Elephas maximus indicus: one gene and its partner. The protein of the gene in region 2 binds, or shares a complex with, the protein of the main gene of each other region. Links are inferred from orthologs where the notes say so. Each region holds a gene or a part of one and is shown on either strand. Other genes may lie near its edges. The genes, in order: KCNJ8 and ABCC9.

The links.
Region 1: the proteins of ABCC9 (region 2) and KCNJ8 are in contact, whole or in part, in a cryo-EM structure (PDB 7MIT), measured with the Rattus norvegicus proteins. The link is inferred for Elephas maximus indicus from reciprocal best matches to the Homo sapiens genes ABCC9 and KCNJ8. Residues at the interface, in XP_038963045.1 of Rattus norvegicus: Phe5, Ile10, Tyr13, Asn14, Ile15, Val19, Asn22, Cys24, Phe25, Ala28, Leu29, Val32, Val35, Phe36, Phe39, Phe42, Pro43, Ile44, Phe46, Ile47, Gly48, Trp49, Gly50, Ser51, Lys55, Gln57, Ile58, Asn129, Phe130, Lys132; in NP_058795.3 of Rattus norvegicus: Met1, Leu2, Lys5, Ile7, Ile8, Pro9, Glu11, Tyr12, Val13, Leu14, Ala15, Arg16, Ile17, Ala19, Glu20, Asn21, Leu22, Leu45, Ala46, His47, Lys48, Asn49, Gly54, Arg55, Phe56, Leu57, Asp59, Ile60, Thr62, Thr63.

What each region holds. Positions count from the first base shown.
Region 1 is NC_064822.1:80,374,460-80,385,292, reverse strand, and holds the start of KCNJ8 (ATP-sensitive inward rectifier potassium channel 8), read left to right. Parts: upstream 1-4,254; 5' UTR 4,255-4,693; intron 4,694-5,560; 5' UTR 5,561-5,625; coding exon 5,626-5,999; intron 6,000-10,833. UniProt on the Homo sapiens protein: Inward rectifier potassium channels are characterized by a greater tendency to allow potassium to flow into the cell rather than out of it.
Region 2 is NC_064822.1:80,544,322-80,555,154, reverse strand, and holds the start of ABCC9 (ATP-binding cassette sub-family C member 9), read left to right. Parts: upstream 1-3,916; 5' UTR 3,917-4,073; intron 4,074-4,442; exon of another isoform or gene 4,443-4,994; intron 4,995-6,056; exon of another isoform or gene 6,057-6,933; intron 6,934-8,240; 5' UTR 8,241-8,300; intron 8,301-10,650; 5' UTR 10,651-10,670; coding exon 10,671-10,812; intron 10,813-10,833. UniProt on the Homo sapiens protein: Subunit of ATP-sensitive potassium channels (KATP). Can form cardiac and smooth muscle-type KATP channels with KCNJ11. KCNJ11 forms the channel pore while ABCC9 is required for activation and regulation.

The DNA of each region.
Region 1 (10,833 bases), about 170 kb from region 2:
AACAATTAGGAAAATTATAGAACAATTAAGAAAACACAAGTAACTTTTAGGGGACAATAGCAAAATAGTGATTAAAGAAGTAGACAAAAATAAGCCTTAAGAGGTAAATGTGCTCTTGAAAAATTGATTTCCACAGTAAATTTCTCACCAGAGGTAAATTTAAATGTTCACTATTTGAACCATAATATGTCTCTTAGTTATCTAGTACTGCTATAACAGAAATAATGCAAGTGGACGGCCTTAACAAACAGAAATTTATTCTCTCACAGTCTAGGAGGCTAAAAGCCCACATTCAGGGCGCCAGCTCCAGGAGAATGCTTTCTCTCTGTCGGCTCTGGAGGAAGGTCCTTGTCATAATCTTTCGCTGGTCTAGGAGCTTCTCAGTGCAGGGGTCCTGAATCCAAACGATGCACTTGCTCCTGGCTTTTCTTTCTTGGTAGTTGGAGGTCCCTTGGTCTCTTACTCACTTCTCTCTGTCATATCTCAAAAGAGATTGACGACTCTAGACACAACCTAACTTGTAGACTGAGTCCTGCTTGATTAACACAACTGCCTCTAATCCTGCCTCATTAACATCATAGAGGCTAAGCCAAGTTGACATATACTTTTGGGGGACACAATTCAATATATAACAGTATGAAAAGAGGAATGTCAGAAGAGGGAAGCTAGATATCAATCAATAATAATGATTGAGTACCTACTGTGTACTCAGAAAAATCTTTGAGAAACAAACCCAAACAGGTCTGTTTCCACTAAACTCACAATTGTTATAAAGAAAAACAGGGCCAGAAAATGCCAAATGACTTCAAGTATTGCTGGCCTGGAGTACTTAGGGGGGTTGCTGAGGAGGGGAGAAGGTGGGTAGCTTGAAGGAGGAGAAAAAAAAAAGGAGAAGGATATGTTAAAGAGAGTATGGGGGATGATGAGTAAAGGATTCTTTGCAGACAGCTATGGTCACAGACTTCATAGTGAACTACAGATTTCAAGTTGTCTATGTGGGTTGTGAGAAATGGCTGCAAAAATCATGAAGGGAGAAGAGATGAGAGTTGGAGTAAATGCATGAAAAAGAGAAACACTGTTGCAAGCACTATTACTTCTTTCTTTCATTGGACAAGTATTTACTGAGTATGTGCTACCAGGAACAATTCTAGACACTGGGTGTGTGGTGGTAACAAACAATTTGTCCTCACAGAGCTCCCACCCAGTGCAGACAGCTAGTTAAGGGAAAAATACACAATGTTGGTTAAGGAAAAATGTCAGAAAAGAAATGGAAGGAGAAAAGAAATGGAAAATTTGTGATATTTCAATTCTTTATCATTTTTCTCAATGACCATTATTTGTTTTTAGTCATTCTATTGTCAAATAATTCACTTATTCACTTCTTAAAATTTCACCTTTATTATGTGTATTCTTAATACCCTTATTCTGAATATATAATTAATTTAAATTAATTATTTAATCAACTTAAAGGAGAATGAGGCTTTTCCATTTAAATCGATACATATCTTTAAAAATATATATATAATATGATATACTAAAAAATAGATCATAGCTTGCCATATCAAAACAAGTCAAAAGTTGACTTGAAATTGCATATTTGGAAGAATATATCTCATTAGAAAAAAATGAGTCTTAAATATGTATAATCACAAAAGAACAGAATTTTCATATAATGTAGATATAGATTTATTTGTTGCAATTTTACTCGTAAATTCTCCTCAGCAGCTCATCTCCCTAAGTTTAATTTTCCTGCTATTTTTCTGCCACCATCATAAATACCTTAGTCACTTCTGACTTTTCCCTTTTCCAGTACTGACTGTGCAACATTCCTTTTGTATATACTTGCATATTGCCCACTGCCATTACCTATTGGCACCAGAACTCGTTCCCTTTCTAATGAATGTAATGGTTTCTGGTGTTCCCCCCTGCCAATCATTTTGGAGCTCCAAGAGACTCAGAAGTTTAACTTTCAAATCCATCCTACTCTCTGCTTCAGGATCAATCTTCCTGAAAAAAAAAAAAAAAACCCAAACCATACCTGTTGCCATCAAGTCGATTCTGACTCATAGTGACCCTACAGGACAGAGTAGAACTGCCCCCATAGAGTTTCCAAGGAGCGCCTGGTGGATTGAAACTGCCAACATTTTGGCTAGCAGCCTTAGCACTTAACCACTTCATCACCGGGGTTTCCAATTCTCCAACAGGTGGTCCTTTTTGTGTAGCTCTCTGATCAAAATCTTTCCTACCATCTTCAGAAGGCTTACCACTTCCTACTGAAGACAGTCCAGACTCCTTTGATGAGCATTTTCTATGACTTTCTATGCATTTTTTTCAAGACTCCAACATGCTTCCTCAAGCCTTATATTTTCCATTTATTGATTCAAAAATATTTTTTGAACACCTCTGTAATTCAAGCTCTGTTAGAGGCTTAGGATACAAAGGTGAACAGCTCACAACTCTGCCCTTTAGCAGTTCTCAGTTCTGTGAAGGGGAAAGACAAGTATATGAACAACCCGGAGGCTCTAGGTGGTGAAAATGGTTAACTGCACTCTGCTGCTAACTGAAAGGTTGGAGGTTCGAGTCCACGCAAACACACCTTGGAAGAAAGGCATGGTGATCTACTTCCAAAAAATCAGCCATTGAAAACCCTATGGATCATATTCTACTCTGGCCCACGTGCGGTTGCCATAAGTCAGAATCACTCGCTGGCAACTGGTACGAATAATCACTACGTGGTGAGAGAGAGGCTGCCCAGGGGACATTGGAATTAAGAGCCCCATCCTGCTATCTCGCTGACTTTGCTTCATCAGTGCTGATTAAATTAGTTTCTGTTACGAAAACATGGCTCACTGTTGCCAGTACTCCATGTCTTTCTTCAGGCTGTTCCTGCTCTGTGGAATGTCTTTTTTTCCATTTTTGTGCAGGCCCCAAATATATTAGGTCTTTCAAAGACTAGATCAGATGTCAAATAATCCAGGAAGCTCTCCTTAGTTCCCTAGTCTTTATCTCTTGTTTATTTCCTTTCCCTTTCTAATCACATTGTTATTTATATTAGAGTTTATCAATGTTTTATCTCTCTTATTATGCTTGTCTAACCTCTTAAGAGCAGCAACTGTGATTTATATATTTATATATTCCTAGATACATGAACCTAAAAAAATGTGATAACTTTCACAAAATAGATGTTCAGTGAATGTTCCCTGAGCTAAAATAATAGACAATAAATTGTATACCAAACTCAATTGTAATATAGAACAATGATTGGACCGACTATTCAAATTGGTCCCCACAGACTTGTTATAAAACTAACTGCATAAGTTATCACATAGATTAACATCAGTAGAGAGGAGAGCTGCCACTAACAGACTAGACCCCAGGCTTGAAGGGGTTAAGCAAATCTATCCACAAAGAGGAAAAACGTTCCTTTGCCTTCATTAAAGACTAATTTTAGGTCTTTTAGTAATTAGATGAACACATTGTTTATTCTCCATACACTTTCGGCCTCGAGTCTTGGAAAATACATAAAATTTCCAAGAATTAAAGTTTCCATTAACACAAGTGCCAAAATCACAAGGCTTGACCTGTGGGAGAGAAAGCACATTTGTCTTTGCTGGCTCCTTCTCAAAAAGCTATAGAAGGATATTTACCGTATAACCTTCCTTGTGCGTAATTGCTGTTTTATCATTCAGACCATCTAGACAAGACTGAGAAGCTGCAACATTTTAGAAAACAAAGAATTACTGAGCAATGACCGTTTGCGTGCTAAAGCGTTGACAATTGTCCCTGTTTGGGGTAAAATTTCTTCACTGGAACAGACTGGGAATATTTTGCTATTTTGTTTTGGTTTGTTTTCTGTGTGCGTGTTACTGAAAACTGGCTTCGGCTGCTGAAGCAGTAATTTCCGATAGTGGGTTTCAGAACATCTTCCACCTGTATGTCACGACTACAGGGAAATTTAATGTACATCAATGCGTGTACACGCAGCTTGAACACCTCCGAAGAATATTTTCTGACCTCTCTATTTGGTTTTATTCAATCTGAAACAACCCAGTTGTCTGTCCAGGTTACAAAAAATAAATAAATAATAAAATACGGAATAAATTCTCCTTACGTCAGTGAACTTGGACTCAAAAAGTTCTCTCCCCAAGCAGGGAGCCTTTTAAAGATGTGTGTGTCAGCCGGCGGCAGGGGGTCGCAGCTACTGGGAAAAGAGCTGGCTCTGCGGGTCCCGCCCTCCCCCAGGGTCGCCCCTCCCCCTGGCCGGCTCCCTACCTCCCCAGGACGCGCCTTTTGCCTCCTCCCTGCACGCCCCAACCTCGGGCACTGCGGCGGCCTCAGAGGCCTGGCGCAAGTCAAAGCCAAAACCGGGAGGCCGATTTGTGGAACAACGTCCCCAAGCTCCTCTCCCCCCAAGCCCCTCCTTCGCCCACTGTATCTGCCAAGAGAGTCAAGCTGAGCAGGGGGAGGGGAAGATCTACACCCATCCCCCTCCCCCCAGCCCTCGGGGCAGTTAGATTCAATTACACCTTTTACTATTTTATCTCTTCTCTTTAGACCACTCGGCCCCCGGATCTGTCCTTTCGCCTTTCGCGGCCCCTGCTCCCGCGCGCCGGGATGGGAGAGCAAGGGACCTGCCGGCGGTCGGCCGGCGTGTGTGTGAAGGTCCAGCCGCCGCGCCCGCTGCCCGGAGTCTGTAAGTTTCAATGCTCCTCCGGGAGAGGGGAGGGTGAGGCTTTCCACATTCCCGCAAATGATTTAAAATGCAAAACACAGCATAGGTTTGCAGTGTTGGATGGATTTTTCAAACATTCTACTATGTGTCTGCAGCTTGTAGGCTCTTGTGGGTGTGATCCCTTCGTTGTAAAGAAGTTTTCAAGTTATAATATTAGGAGTTTCATGGGATACTTTTTTGTCTTTTTTTTTTTTATGCAACTCAGACTTCCTTCAGATTTAAAATAATTATTCATAACGTTCAAGTTACATAGCACATCGTTTATTATTTTGTCAGATTACACTAAACATGTTATTTACACTGCGCAAGAGTCCACGGCCTTTTCTTTGCCTACTTCTAAAAATAACGGAGAGAGAATTTCCCTTCAGTACTTTTAATATTGCTGTATCATCTGAATGCTTTAATAAATAGATCCTACTGCACTCTGGCCTTAAATTTTCATCCTTGACACTTCGAGCTGGTATCCTTGCCCTAATCTACAGATGTGGTTAACTCAGAGAATTATCACTGAGCCTGCTGTTTACATGAAAGCTCCTGGTTTTGTTTAACTACGGCTACATGTGTGGAAAATGAAAAGGAAAATTAAATCAGTTTACCGATTCAGACTAAGTAACAATTTCTCTGGGATCCCAGAACTCAAGCAAAAGCCAGACCCGTGTTTAGATTAATTAAGTCACACTTTTAGCTTTGCATGCCACCTTGTATGTATAGATATGCCCCTGAATACAAGACTGAAGAAGTGAGGAAATGATTTTATACCTCTGTCTATAAAAACGTCTATATTATTATTATTGTATCATTATTTTAATTATCGTTTCCCTTGTGCAGGAGGACGGGTCTTGGAAGGAGGCAGGTCAGAGGCAGGTGGATAGGCTGGCTATGGTGGCAGGACGATGTTGGCCAGAAAGAGCATCATCCCCGAAGAGTATGTGCTGGCGCGCATCGCCGCGGAGAACCTGCGGAAGCCGCGCATCCGAGACCGACTCCCCAAAGCCCGCTTCATCGCCAAGAGCGGGGCCTGCAACCTGGCTCACAAGAACATTCGCGAGCAAGGACGCTTCCTTCAGGACATCTTTACCACCTTGGTGGACCTGAAATGGCGCCACACGCTGGTCATCTTTACCATGTCTTTCCTCTGCAGCTGGCTGCTCTTCGCCATCATGTGGTGGCTGGTGGCCTTTGCCCATGGGGACATCTATGCTTACATGGAGAAAAGTGGAATGGAGAAAAGTGGTTTGGAGTCCACTGTGTGTGTGACTAATGTCAGGTAAGAATGCAGTAGGACTGCACGTAGCATAGTCAAAATATTATATTGCCTTTCTTCTATCACTCTCTTATTGAAAGTGAAATAAAAGGTTTGCTTTAGAAACAAACAAAACAAATAGTAAGAATAATCTAAGATGTTATAAATCTTTTAAAATGCAGCATTATGGCTAATGAGTCTCAAAGTGTGGAACTTCAAGCCCTTGGATTTGAAAATTTTACACCAGTTACTTAAAAATTGTTGTGGTTCAAAAAAATTACACAGAGCACTTACACACACACACGACCTACACGTTTAGTTTTCAGCATAAAAAACTGCTGTCTATAATTCCAATGTCTACAAATAAATATTTCTGATCAACAAAAATTATTATGCAGATGCTGGTAATATTTTTCCCTGGTGTCTCTTATCCATTACATTTTCAGAAATAGTGAGAAAAAGGAGATGGCACTGGTCGGACAGGGTCCTAGATTAAAAATCTACTAAAAATGAAATAAATATAAAGGATATAAACCCTGCTTTATTATGATTATCTTAACAGCTAATTCCTTGCACTGGATTCTGAAATTAAAAGTTATGTTAAGATTCAGAACTAGAAAAAAAAATTTTTTAATGGAAATTGGTCCAAAATTTTCATGGAAGGGATAATATAGAAGTGAGTTGATGTTGGACTCTTTCTTTCAAAGACTTAACAGAAAAAGGAGGGAACAGTTCTTAAACTACTTTACGTTTGCTTTTTCTCTTACTAGTATTTCAAAGACAGGTAAACTGAATTTGTTTCCAGTGAATCTCTTTTCATATTTTAAGATGATCTAAGAATATTTGGCTGGAGTGATCTGTATCTTAATTTATTTTGTTGGAATACTGAAAAAGATAATTTATATCTATTGCAAAAACATTTACTCTGAAGCAAAACAATAGTAATAATAATGGAAAAATTTCCAGGACATTTTCTGAATTATGTGCCAAATTCACATAGTGCACAAAGAAAAGAAACTTGAACAAGAACCATACTGCCAGGAAACTGTAAAGAATGAATGCTTTACTGACCGTGGAATCTTATAAAGCTAGCATACCGCTGCAAGAACCAGAAACCCAGGCTATGACCTTGTCCATGCTCCCATTTCCTAAGTAACTGCAGTGCCAGCATCCCATAGAGGAAAGCAACATTTGTATGTAGAGAGAGGACACCACAGATTTCAGGAGGAGAGAATACCAGATTGACTTGATCAACTTACTGCCTTTACCATTGAGTAAATATTATTTTCTTTTCAACACAAACTTTTGTTTCAAAGGAAAATGTAGGTGATCATCCCAACATCAGTTACCAAGAAAACCATTAAAATACTGTACGAAACAGGTATTTGAAGGTCAAATATCATTTTCTATAATATTTCTCTTTAGGATACTTACTGACACTGGGATTGGTGAATCATTTTCATATCAAGAGAAATTGTTGGTAAATATGCAGTAAACTTATTGCCGTCAAGTCAAATCCAACTTGTAGACACCTAAGAGGACAGAGTAGAACTGCCCCATAAGGTTTTCAAAGAACAGCTGGTAGATTCGAACTGCCGACCTTTTTGGTTAGCAACTGAGCTCTTAACCACCAGGGCTCCAAATATGCAGTAGCCACTCTGTAAAAAGAGATAAAAGAAACTAAAAAGATAATCGTTGAAGATAAATGACAGATTTTATTCACAAGACAAATATATTGCCTTTTTCCTTGAAAATGAAGTCATTAAGCAGTTTATTAAATACGTAAGAATAATATTCTTCCAATAATTTTTTAAAAGAACTTTAGAGTGTCTTCTGGTTATTAAAAGCCATTAGCTCTTATTTTTCAAATAAGATGTGACCTGAAGCATGTTTATTCAATCCCCAGATGCACTCCTGCTTATGTGAACATTAACTATGATAAATGCTGAAAATAAATAGCACAGCAATTTTAGCATTTTAAATTGCAGCTCCTTCCTACAAAAAAATTATTTGCTACCTTTAAAACAAAACAAAACAAAAACTCACCGCCATTGAGTAGATTCTGACTCACAGCAACCCTATAGGACAGAATAGAACTACCCCATAGGGTTTCCAAGGAGCACTTGGTAGATTCAAACTCCTGGCCTTTTTGGTTAGCAGCTGAGCTCTTAACCACTTCTCCACCAGGTCCCCTTGCTCTCTTTAAAGTTGTTCTATTCAGGTCCCCTTGCTCTCTTTAAAGTTGTTCTATTCTTACTGATTTTATTTCAATATTGTGGTACTATTGATACTTCAGAAACCCTGGTGGTGTAGTGTTTAAGAGTTAGGGCAGTTAACCAAAAGTTTGGCAGTTTTAATCCACCAGGTGCTTCTTGGAAATTCTATGGGGCAATTCTACTCTGTCCTATAGAGTCACTATGAGTTGGAATCGACTAGAAGGTAACCGGTTTGATTTGGTTTGGTTTATTGATACTTTGGAGCCCCGGTGGCACACTGGTTAGGAGCTTGGCTGCTAACCAAAAGGTCAGCAGTTTGAATCCACCAGCCACCCTTGGAAACCCTATGGGGCAGCTCTACTTTGTCCTGTAGGGTCTCTATGAGTCAGAATCGACTGGATGGCACCTAACAACAACATTGATACTTTAATCTCAACATACAGTTTAATCACAAGAAACCTTACCAAAAAAAAGTCACCAAAAATATAGAAACAGAAAAGTCTCTGTGCCCTCCCAAAAGGAATTTAAAATATGGCTAAAAATGATTCGTTAAATTTCCTTTCCTAAATTCAATGTCCCGCCACTTCATCAAGAGAAACAACTTTTTAAAGTAGATACTCACCAACATTTCCAAACAACATTCTACACTCTCGTTTTACAGTGGCTATCTTTCCCCTGAGTGTAGGTGACTCTCAGAGTCAGAAAGTAAAGCAGCATTGTTTCCCCTCTCTCATTATGATTCAGCCTCACTCTCTGTACCAGAACAAAAGAAGAGCTAAACACTTTCATCTGTTGGCATTGCTTAGTATGATACTCACCAACTGCCGTTGAGTCAATTCCGACTCATAGCGACCCTGTAGGACAGAATAGAACTGCCCCATAGGGCTTCCAGGGCTATAAATATTTACAGAACCAGATTGCCACATCTTTGTCCCAAAGAGCGGCTGGTGGGTTCGAACTTCTGAACTTTCAGTTCTCAGCTGAGTGCTTTAACCACTGCGCCACCAGGGCTCCTTTTAGAAATCAGTGTGTCTGTGCCCTTCCTCTGGAGTCCGTTCCTATTCTTTGCCATAGTTTTGCACCATGTGGCATACCTTGTTTTAAATAGCTAGTGCAAGTAGCAAGTAATGTGGTTTCCTATAAATCCTTAATTCAAGAAAGAAAGAGAAAAGGCAACTTTCACACTCCACTTAAAGGCTAATCAAAACAGTCATTTATGCCTGCTCCCTTACCCCCTCCTGGCATCCCAGCAAGGTGCGTTGTGTATATTAAGTATTCAAATGTTTTAAAATTTTGCTCACTCATTGTGTGTGACATTAAGGAATGCTGTCATTTGATGAAACTTTGACAGATGGCCTATGCATAGCTTGTCTTAGAGAAGTTTGAAATTGTGGTTTGGGGAGGAAGGCAGGACTAATATTGTTTCTATTAAGAAGCTGTGGCAGTGTTTGGAATGTAGGAAGTGAACAAATGAATGATAAGGATAATGAAAATGCCACTCAAAAGGGTGGGGTGGGGTGAGACTGAATCAGAATCACCTGAGAGCTTTCCAAAGAGTCTTACCCAGTTCCAACCTTGACCCTACCAAGCCAGTGTCTGCACTGAGATGTGGAGGAGGTGTGCGTTCTAATAAAGCTCCCCAAGGAAATTCTGACACTTATTGGCCTTTCCCATTTCCACTTTCAGAGCACTTGGCCAGAATTCAGAAGATTCAAGTTCTTATTCAAGATATGATGCTGACATTGACGTAGACATTTGCCAATCTCTGCCTCAGATTCTTCCTTTAGTAACTTCAGTAACCGTTAGATCACATAGAAGACACATTAGATAAGAAAACACCTTTCTTTCCTAATGGCAAGATATTCCTTATTATTAAAAATACTAGTACTTTTGAATGATGGGTTTTGTGCCACTTTGTAGCACTGTGCCTTGTCTGTATGAAGTACACAGTATTAGTAAATGAACCTGATGTTAAAGGTTATAAATAGTGAATAGCTCACTCACTGTTCTACTTTCAATATGACTCCGTCAAACACAAATATTCAAGAGTAAGTGCTTGTTAAAAATATTGTTTGGTAAAGTCTCTATGTTACGAACTGTGCCTTGTCTGTATAAAGTATACAATAAGTATTAGCAAATGAACATGATTTTAAAAGTACAAAGAGTTAAAAGCTCATGCATTGTTCTACTTTCAATATGACTCGAGTTACTTAAACACAAATATTCAAGAGTAAAATCAAACCAAAACCAAACCCGTTGCCGTCGAGTTGATTCCAACTCCTAGTGACCCTATAGGACAGAGTAGAACTGCCCCATAGAGTTTCCAAGTAGCGCCTGGCGGATTCGAACTGCTGACCATTTAGTTAGCAGCTGTAGCTCTTAACCACTATGCCACCAGGGTTTACATTTAAGAGTAAAAAAACCAAACCAAAGCCGTTGCCATCGAATCAATACTGACTCATAGCGACCCTATAGGACAGAGTAGAGCTTCTTCCTTGGGTTTCAAAGGAGAACCTGGTGGATTTGAACCACCAACCTTTTGGTTAGCAGCCATAGCTCTTAACCATTACACCACCAGGGTTTCCACCATTCAAGAGTAAGTGCTTGTTAAAAATATTGTTCGGTAAGTCTCTATGGTACGG
Region 2 (10,833 bases):
CAGATGGACCATGGGCAACCAGTGCTTTTGGTTGTAATGACTGGGAGGTAGCAGTTATCCTTGGACCTGTGTCATGGGTGGCTGGGTGACCTGAGTGGAGCCACCAGTCCTTAGGCCTCTGATGTGGGTAGGTGAGGATCCTGTCTAATCAGCAAAGCAGTGTCAAACATCAAACACGAACCTCTTCACTGCACAGATGAAACAGCTGCAGTTGCAGTCTGCCAACAAGGGCCTATTCTCCTGAAACAGGTCTGTGCAGGCGGAAAAGGTATTCAAAGTCCATGGACTGTTATGGCTGGACAGGAGCTGCTTCTGTTCTGAGCTCCCCAGGTTAGTGGAGCTGACAGATTATCTTTTCCCCTAATTGTGAATTTATTCCTTCTCCAAGGCAGGGAGAATGGCTCAGAATGCTCAGTGGGACCTATCTTAGGCTCAGGGAAATTGACAGCCACTGATGCTGGCTTGAGGGCTGGGGGCACAGTAAAATATATGCAAGTACTTAGCTTTTGCCAAGATCGCCATTTGTCTCTGGTTCTGGAGGTGTGAGTAGGCTGTGCAGCTGGCTGTTTCTCCCTGAGGATACTGTGGTGGAAAGCTACCACCAACCCGCCACAGTCACTCCTGGGAATGGTGCCTGAGGGTTCCCACCAAGTCAGGTCTGGCAACTCCTCTCCACTTCTGAATTGTCTCTCCCTCCCCCTGCTGCTCAACCCATTTTCTAACTTTGGCTTTGATGTTCAGGGCTCCTAGCTTGTCATAAATATAATTGTTTCACTTGTTTTTTCAGGTCTTTGTTGTAAGAGGGATCACCAGAAGCGTCTGACCACTCTCCCATCTTGGCCTCACCTCCAATGTATTCTTAATAGCAGCACAAAATATGAAAACAAAAATGAAACTCTATTACTAATTTTTACAAGAAATGTACAGACATAATACTGAGTTATAAAGAAAACTTGAATAAATGGGAAACCATATTTTTGGATGAAAAGACAGAACACTCAAAACATATTTATAAATTATTTCCTAGATTTAATGAGATTACAGTAAAATCCCCAAAACAGAATAGCTAAGAACGTTTTGAACAGAGTAAAAGGGAGACTAGCACTACCAGGTTTTAAAATATAACTTAAAGCATTGACAATCAAATTAGTCTGATCATAGGAACAGAACAGAAAAAAAATTGAAAAACAGATGAATTGACCAAAATAGTTAGCCCATACACAGATACTACTATAAAATAATTAGATATATATTATGAAAGTTGCTGGTTGTGGTGTAATTAAGAGTTCCGCTGCAAACCTAAAAGTTCAAATCTACCAGCTGCTCCTTGGAAACCCTATGGGGCAATTCTACTCTGTCCTATAATGATGCTACGAGTCGGAATTGACTTGACTACAATTTTTTTCTCTTTATAAATCAGGGAAAAAATAAATACAAAGATTATTCAGTAAATTGTGTTGGTGTAATGATAAAAATGTTAAGTTAGATTTTCATCCCATGGCATATGCCAAAACAAACTCTGGAATCAAATTTAAAAATACCTTTCAACAAATAAAAACGGAAAGCTAATATTTATAAACTGAAAAAGAATTGGAATGCATTGTGTAAATATAAAGCAACAAATCTTTGTACATAAACTTTTCCTTAGAAGGAAGCATTAAAAAGGCAGAGACTCTGGAGGTCTGTCTTATTACTGAACTCTGTGCCTGGCACGAGACCTAGCATATAGTATGTGCTCTAATAAATGTTTTATAGAATGCATAAAACAATTGGGAGCGTCACCATTTTTTTTTTAACTGATAAATCGGGAAAATATTTATCATATGTATATAAGGAAACCCTGGTGGCATAGTAATTAAGAGCTACAGCTGCTAACCAAAAAGGTCAGCAGTTTGAATCCACCAGGCGCTCCTTGGAAACCCTATGGGACAGTTCTACTCTGTCCTTTAGGGTTGCTATCAGTCTGAATAGACTCAGTGGCAATGGGTTTGGTTTTTATATGTATATAAATGAAGGTGTATTATACTTTTCTCATTAAAAGTGATACAGATGATAAACTTCATTAAGACAAATGGACAAATGTGAACAAACCTTCACCACAGATGAAATACAAAGATGAATGAAGATTTGAAAAAACGTTGAATGTCAATAACAAAGAATTGCATGTTATCTGTCATATTACAGTAATTTTGCTTTATTTTTAAATAAACCCTTGTGGTGCAGTGGTTAAGAGCTACAGCAAGAGCTACAGCAAGCTAGTTCGAATCCACCAGCTGCTCCTTGGAGCCCCAATGGGGGCAGTTCTACTCTGTCCTATAGGGTTGCCATCAGTCAGAATCCACTCAACGGCAATGGGGAGTGGATGGTTTGGGTATCAGTGAAATAGGTCATCTTACACAGTTTGGTAAGTTAATATAATTTCTTTTTAAAAAGTTAAGTGTATCTTAAATTATCTGCCACACGGGGGAAAAAAGCTTGATGTGCAAAGTCCACCGTTGGATGATATATATACATATATAAAAAAACCCAGACCCACTGCTGTCCAGTGGATTCCAACTCATAGCGACCCTATAGAACAGAGTAGAATGCCCTCATAGAGTTTCCAAGGAGCGCCTGGTGGATTCGAACTGCCAACCTCTTGGTTAGCAGCTGTAGCACTTAACCACTACATCACCAGAGTTTCCGTATATTATATATAATAGTGAAAATTTGGCAACTACATATCCAACAGTAGAAAAATGGTTTTAAATTTTTGGTATATTACACAATGGGATATTATGCAGCCATTTGAATAATATCTGTGAAGATCTAACATACCATCAGAAAATTGTTTTAAAAGATAGTATGGGGAGATAAATTATGTTGTGATTGCCAAGACTATAAAATATGCATAGAAAATATAGAAAAACGATAACTATTACTCAGAGTTTACCGAGGGCGCTCACATTGTCTCAGCACTTCACAGGCACTATCTCATTTACCATCACATCAACCCTGTAGCATATACCTTTATTTATTCCATTGAACAGATGAGGAAACTGATACACAGAAGGGTTAAGCAAATTGTACAAAGACACTGAGCTAATAAGTGGGGTAGCAGAATTTTTATCTTGCAGGCTGACTCCAGCGTCTGCACTCTTAATTATTGCACTATATCTCCTTTTTTTGTTAAAATACAACAAAAAGTTTTCCGTAGTAATCGTGACTTACTATCATTAGAATACCCAAAGTACTATGGAAAAAAAAATTCCCATCAGCTCTATTTTGTGCAGTCAAATATAGGATTTCTATCTGGGGATTATTGTCACCTTCCTCTTTCTTGTGCTCTCTCCGTAGATGCCCTGATAATCCTCTGTCCCCCCTTGTGGTTTGTTCATTCGGTCTCCAGGTCCCATGCCCAGCGCCGAACTTCCCACTCTTGAAACTAGTTCCTTTCTCCCTGCGCCTGCGTCGCGGCCAAGAGTCTCACTCAGGGTGAAGTTGCCAAGCGCTCAAAGGCCGCCAAATCTTTGTCTTATGGACCCTCCCGGTTGCCACCCTATGTGAGCTTGCAGACTCCTAGTGGTTGTAGGTTCAAGCCCCCCAGCCACGGCGGTCATTGCTCCAGGAGTGCAGCGACCTTTTCGTAAGCGAGGCGCCCGCGGAGAAACCCCCCTGCGATGCAGAAGGGGTGTCGACCTTTGCTCTCAAGGTCAGCGAGGCGGGCAGGCTGCGTTTTGCACCTCTGTGTACAGACCGTGATCCACCCAGTGTAGGGTTCAGGTCCTGGAGCGGTGCCCCCTGGGGGACGCGACGAGTCCGGGAGCACCAGTCCTGCTGGTTAGGCCAGTTGCTGAAAATAATAATTATTTCAAGCTGACTCAGAAGTAGCCCCTGAGAAAATTGAGTGCTAATTAAAGATGTTTCCTGGCTGCGGAGGCCAAAGGTTACTACTTGCAGACTGGGGGCGTTAGGATGGAGCGAGCGTATTTTAAACACGGTATCTCCTGGAGAGTTACTTCTCTGGCGGCAGGAGGAGGGGGGAACTGCGTGTGCAGCCGGTGGAACCAAAGTCCCTCTTTCGGGAAGCCTGGGTAAGGGGTAAGGGTCTCCCTTCGGTAGCGCGGCGGCTTGGGAGCAGTAACCCAGTTTTTCGGGTCTCCGGAGCGGGGGAAGGAATGTTCGGCTTGACCCTGTGTTGCTCTTGTGAGATCCTGGCAAGCGATAATTTAGCCCGGCAGCGCGTTCCTCTACTTAGCATGAGCCCTCTATTTCCACAGTGTGCCCAGGGGAGAGAAAGAAAAAAAACAAAAAAGAACAGAAAAACCGAAACCCCAAATCTGATTCCATATGTGGCTAATAAAAGCAAGTATGCAAAACATAAAGAGCCCCGGTGGTGCAGTGGTTAAAGCGCTGAGCTGCTAAACAAAAGGTCAGGGATGGGAACCCACCAGCCACTCCTCAGGGAGAAAGATGTGGCAGTCCGCTTCCTAAAGATTTACAGCCTTGGAAACCCTAGGGGGGAGTTCTGCACTGTCCTATGGGGTCACTAGGAGTAGGAATCCACTTTAAGCCATGGGAATGGAAATACAAAACATACAATACATATACATACCTATAAAGTGAGTACCTTGCGTGTTTTGACGATGAAAACCCGGCTCTGGTTAATCATTGAATCACATGTCGCAAGTGTCAGTGTCTAATGAAATTTGGGGGACGCACGTTATTTGGGTTCGTGAACTCTTTGCCTGGCGTGGCGGGAGTTTGCTGCTGAAGTGCGCCGAATGCGGGGCCGAGCGGGGGTGGGGAGGGTCTCCAGTCCCAGGCGCTGCGCGGGGCTTCTGCCCAGTTTCCTGCCTCGCTAGAGTCGCTGTGTCCGCCTCGGCCCCAGAGCCGTCAGTGTAATTGAGAAACTCGATAGGAGGCAGCAGCTGATCTCCCACCACCCTAAAAATAATCCGCCCCGGCGCCCGGCGTGCTTCGACTAGGGAAGGAAAACTCTGCCTTCGGAGTAAGTAAGTCCGTGTCTTTTACATAAATATTATTTTAAAAATTAAGAATAACTCTGAACTATCTGTTGTGATCTAACATTTCGGCAACCAAAAGCCGCAGGAGCACTCTCTCAGCGCTACGCGTTCACGATCGTTATTTCTAGAATGAAGGGACCGGGCCCCAGAACTGAGAAGACAGGATCAGATTTCCAGCCTTACTTACAAGGCTGCCGGCTTCCACATAAACCAAGTGGAAACAGAACAAGGGGTTATTATTAATTTTTTTTCTCTTAGACATTTCCTGTATTGTTCATGAAAGTAGCTTTCTATCTGCTTAATTTTTTGTAACGCTTTGCTTTTTTAGGAGCTCTGGGTCCACGTTTGAAATATACGTCCTAAAACAGTGTAGGAAGCCTGTGTTTTGAAGGTAGCAAAGTACACGCCTAGGGGTTTCAGGCAGCGTCAAGCGATTGCCCGTGGTATTTATGTTTTGCTTTGCTTAGTTTGGGATTTAAAAAATTCCCGTTGCAGTGTCTGTCCAAGGGATCTTATCTGCTGAGTAGTTCCAACATTTCCTTTGGTGTGCATAGAACTTCACAGCCACGGAAGAGTGAATGGGTGGATTCAAATTAGCAGTAAATCAGAAGTCAGTGGTCATTTTTACTAATACTTTTCTTATGTGGACCTGCTACAGATGGGTGGATGAATAGATGAGTGGATGGATAGATGATAGACAGATATCCACTAGTTCATATTTTATGAACTGTGGGCCGATGGCTCTTCCAAAGAAGCTATTAAACCATTTGTGCTTGCAAGTGGTCACCATCCTAAAAAATGCTCTAGGTACTGATAAAGCACTGAGTAAATCCTTCATAATGTCGTGTTTCTCTCTCATAGCATGAATTTGGTTAATTTAATAAGTAAAGAATGAATGATTTCACATGTAAGAAAAGCTTTTACATTGCCTTTAGCACGTTTTCTTCAGGTGTTTCCAAGCTTTTTAGGTTCTCTGAGATTAGTATTCCATGAGAATTGTCACTGGCTGCTGAGTGAAAGAATGCTAGTTTTCACCTATTTTATTTACAGTTCTACTACCAGAGAAGAGGGCTGACAAAAATAAGTGATGTATCTGATGTACTTGAACACTTTGACCATATTTTTAGAATTAAATCTGACCATTATTGTTCCTCCCTTATGGAGGAGCCAGCAGAGCTGAGAAGCCAATTACTCATCAACTAGACCCAAAATTTATAAATCCTAGGGGCTGTGGAACCTCGTACGATGCGTCTCAAGGAATAAGAATACTAAGGTTGGTATTCTTGCCATAAAATCAAGTGCTTGGTTTCAGAGTATTTTTGTTTTATGTCTTTGCTCTGCAGACCACTCCTGTAATAAAAGTGTCATTTTTATCTTTGTCTTTATAGTCCATTCGGTCAAGTTCTCCAATCCTGTAGACTGTCATAAACACCTAAATGTCTTGGTTTATGCTTTCCGAGAAGAAAAAAGTCATGGCCTCTCTTCCTCTCCCTCCCCCTTGCTGTTTGGGCCTCTGTCAGTGCTTAGCTGATCCAGACAGCTCCCGAAGGGGTGTGGCTGAACGATGTCAAGTGACAGAGTTTAGCTTACAGTAGCAGCAATTTATAACCTTCCCAAAAAAGCATTATTAACTTAACATGGACTCTGGGAGAGAAACACTGAATGGCAGTCGGAGATTTAAGAATTAGTTAGAAATCCTGACTGAATAAAAGACCTTCGGTAAACACAGAGAATTATCAACACATATGCAATAAGTTTATTCCTTCCCTCTTTTTGTTTCCGCTGGGTTGTAATGTAGTGTAGCTGTTAGAAGGTGCCACACACACTGGGTGTTGGAGAAGGAAGCTAAGGTTCAAGGGGAAGAGGATGGAAGAGGAGGAGGCAGAGGAAAAGCAAAAGGGGAGATGTGGTGAGAGGAAGCCGACAGGTTGGGACCCATTGCCCATTGCCGTCGAGTCAATTCCGACTCATAGCGACCCTATAGACAGAGTAGAACTGCCCCATAGAGTTTCCAAGGAGCCCCTGGTAGATTCAAACCGCTGACCTTTTGATTAGCAGCTGTAGCACTTAACTACTATGCCACCAGGTTGGGAGCCTGGGGGAAATGTGAGGTTAGAGATTGTGGGAGAAGGAAGAAATCAATCTAAAACTTTGAGGTAGACCCCTTGGTGTGATTATATTGTCTATTTGAGTGTGTGTGTGTATATATATATATATATGGAAAGGTATATATATGTAAGTGTATGTGTGTGTATGTATATATATTTACATTATACCAAGAATTGTTGTAACTAGTGTGGTCTCATGCACTAATGGATTGCCAATGCCTAGCACATGGTCAACACCCAATAAGTATTTTCATAATTAATTAATGGCCTAGAATCCCAGACATCTGGTATATGGCTGAAAATGTCCCTAAACTTTTTCAGGTGTTGTACTTCTCTGAAAGTGTCTTTCCACAGCTACAGAACATTTACTCAAATGTTATTTAATGGTAGTTTTTAGGTGTGATTAAAATACTAGGCAGGTAATGTTTATAGGTAATGGGGAATGTATTATGCAAATTCAGGGCATTCTTTATCATTGGCTCACTGATAATGATTAAAAATCAAGGTTTAGAAATACGGTCATTTGGAGTATTATAATTTTAGATAAAAGTAACTAAAGTAAAAATTATTGTCGGTTCATACTTGGAAACAGTTTATATATGTCTTTCACTTAAGAGTGTGTTTAAATTTTCCCTTTATCATTTCTACTAAATAAAGGAAGTAGTCTGAAAAATTTCATTACTAGGAATTATTTTTTTGTTGCTATTTTTTCCATCTTTACCAGAAATGCATCTAACATGCAAATATTTATTCATAACTTGTATTTTACTGTTTTTTTTTATCTCAAGTCTTTTCTAATTATTTTATCCACCTTAGGACTTCAGTAGTTTGTAAATACTTACCAAATATATAACCTCATACTGAGTTTTTTGTTTAACTGTAACTTTGTTTTTTAAATGAGACATGGTCTCAATTAGAAAGCATAACAAAAATGATTTCTCAATAAAAGGGTTTATCAGAAATACTATGTGAGAGAGATTCAGGGTAAAACTATACTTAAACAGTTGTCTAACTAGTTCTATTCATATGTTTTATTAAACCTTCACTTAACATTTAATTTCTCTAATAGTTTACCTACTACTGCCAGTCTTCTGTGTGTAACACTCTTTGTTGTTGTTTCTTCTAGGAAAAATATTTTTCATGACCATTGCTAAATCTGTTATCAATGAAAGAGAAGAGAGAAAAGGTACTATGTTAATTAATCAAACCTTTGCCAACTTTTAATAATCTAACTCAGAATCTAGTGTGCCATAAATATGGAAAAGAAACAAAGTCCAGTGACGTTAAAATCTTAAGCTGGTACTTATTTTAATAGAAGTAGAGAAGACATTTTCTTAAAAAAATAGGCCGGAGGTGTTGTGATACAGTGGAGAGAACATAGTATACAGTCAGACACTTTGTGGGTGTGGATCCTGGCTTGTCTACTGGCTGGCGAATTACTGAACCTATGTGAACCTCAGCATCCTTCTCTGTAAGATGAGAATTACATTATTCATCTTGCATAGTGGTTCTGAGAATGTAAGATGATGTATACAAAGTGCCCAGAATTTCATAGGTGCTGAATAAATGATTGCTCTTCTGTGCTGTCGAGTTGATTCCTACTCATAGCGACCCTATAAGACAGAGTAGGAAGGCTGTAATTTTTACTGAAGCAGACTGCCACATCTTTCTTCTGTGGAGCAGCTGTGGGCTTGGACTGCTGACCATTCAGTTAACAGCCGAGTGCTTAATCACTGTGCCACCAAGCCTCCTATTTAAATAAATGATAAGCATTATTATAAAAGAAGTTTTCAGAAGGCTAAAACTTCTGCTGGAGTGTCACATTAGAATTTTTTTTTTTCAGTTGTGCTTTAGGTCAAAGTGAAAAAGTTAACAGCTCAAGTTAATTTCTCATTAAAAAATTTATACACATATTGTTTTGTGACATTGGTTGCAATCCTCACAATGTCACAGCATGCTCCCCCTTCCTACCCCATGTTCCCTGTCTCCATTCATTTGGTTCCTGTCCCTTCCTGCCTTCTCATCCTGCTTTTGGACAGGAGCTGCTCATTTGGTCTCATATATTTGATCAAACTAAGAAGCATGTTCCTCACATGTTTTTTGTTTTATAGGCCTGTCTAATCTTTGTCTGAAAAGTGGGCTTCAGGAATGGTTTCAGTTCTGGGTTAGCAGAGCATCTGGGGCCATAGTTTCAGGGATTCCTCCAGTTTGGCAGACCTCAACTCCTCTATCATATGTCTCAGCACAGCAATGAGGAATCCATTTAAAATGTACGTTAGAGTATGTCACTTCTCTGCTCAAAACCCCTCAGTGACTCCTCATTTCACTCAGAGTAAAGCCAACATCTCAGAAATGGCCTTCAAAGCCCTGCATCATTTTGCCCTCTGTTAACCTCTCTCACCTCATCTACTTCAATCAAAAGACATCCTTCTGAACATATTGATCAAAGATTCTAAAGAAGATTCCTAATCAAAAGGGGGAAAATGCAGAACAGAATCCAAATTCCTGATGGAGTCCACACTTTCTGGAGCTACTGAAGCTGGAGGAACCCCTGAAACTATTGCTTTGAGATAATCTTGAAACTTTAAAACTTAAGCCAAAACTATCCCCTGAAGTCTTCTTTGAACCAAAAAATAGCTTATCTAAATTAGTAAAGTATGTCTGCTTTGAGCATTGTACCCTTAAAGAACTATCTATATGAGTTCAAATGGACAATGACAACTTTAAAGATTGCATGGGAAGTTTAGGGTGTAGGGAGTTTAAGAAAGTGGTCGGGGAGTCATTGGAAAAGGACAGCGACAATGATAGCACAACTTTAAGAATATGTCACTGAACTGTACATGTAGAAATTATTGAAATGGTCTATCTTTGGCTTGTATGCTTTCACCAAAATGAAAAAATAAAAAAAGAGATGCCCTTCATTTGAAAATTTGAGTGCATTTCATATAAGAATATTCTGTATGTGACTTGAGTAGTTTCATTGATTTTTCGCTTGGGTTATATTTAATCTGTCTTTAGCTCTTGGTTTTAAGGTTCTTCAGAGAAAAACTACTGTTTGCAGCCACTTTGGTCTCTGTGTATTAATATTTCCAGCAATTAATACAGTTTTCAGTAAATTGTATCCAGCTAAAGTTGTTTGTTAATGCATTTTCAATGACTGAACATGGGAAAGGATTTGCTATTACACTGTTTTGACTTTTTAATCATTGGTGTAATTTCTCTCCTTTTTCTTGATGTGTCCTCACTTTTGTTCTTTGAAATTATTTTAGTCAACTACTCTTCTGAATGACCGCTGTGTGTAGGTATTAATTACTTTGCATTTTTAAAGTTAAAATAAAAATTTTTCTTCAAAAAAAAAAAAAAAAAACTATGGAAAAGAGAACCTTAGAGAAAGTAGAAGGCCTTATAAGAAACTCTTAAATTACTTTGGTATAGATTTGCCTACTTCTTCAACTATAAAAATAAGCAGTGCTAACTGTATGTTATAATTTTATGAAAGAGTTTAAGAATAAAAAGCTCTTTTCTTTCTCTTTTAGAGTAAGCCATATGAGAAGAAATGAGCCTTTCATTTTGTGGTAACAACATTTCTTCATATAATATCTATGATGGGGTATTACAAAATCCCTGCTTTGTGGATGCACTCAACCTGGTCCCTCATGTCTTCCTGTTGTTTATCACTTTCCCAATCTTGTTTATTGGTAAGTAATCTGATATTTATG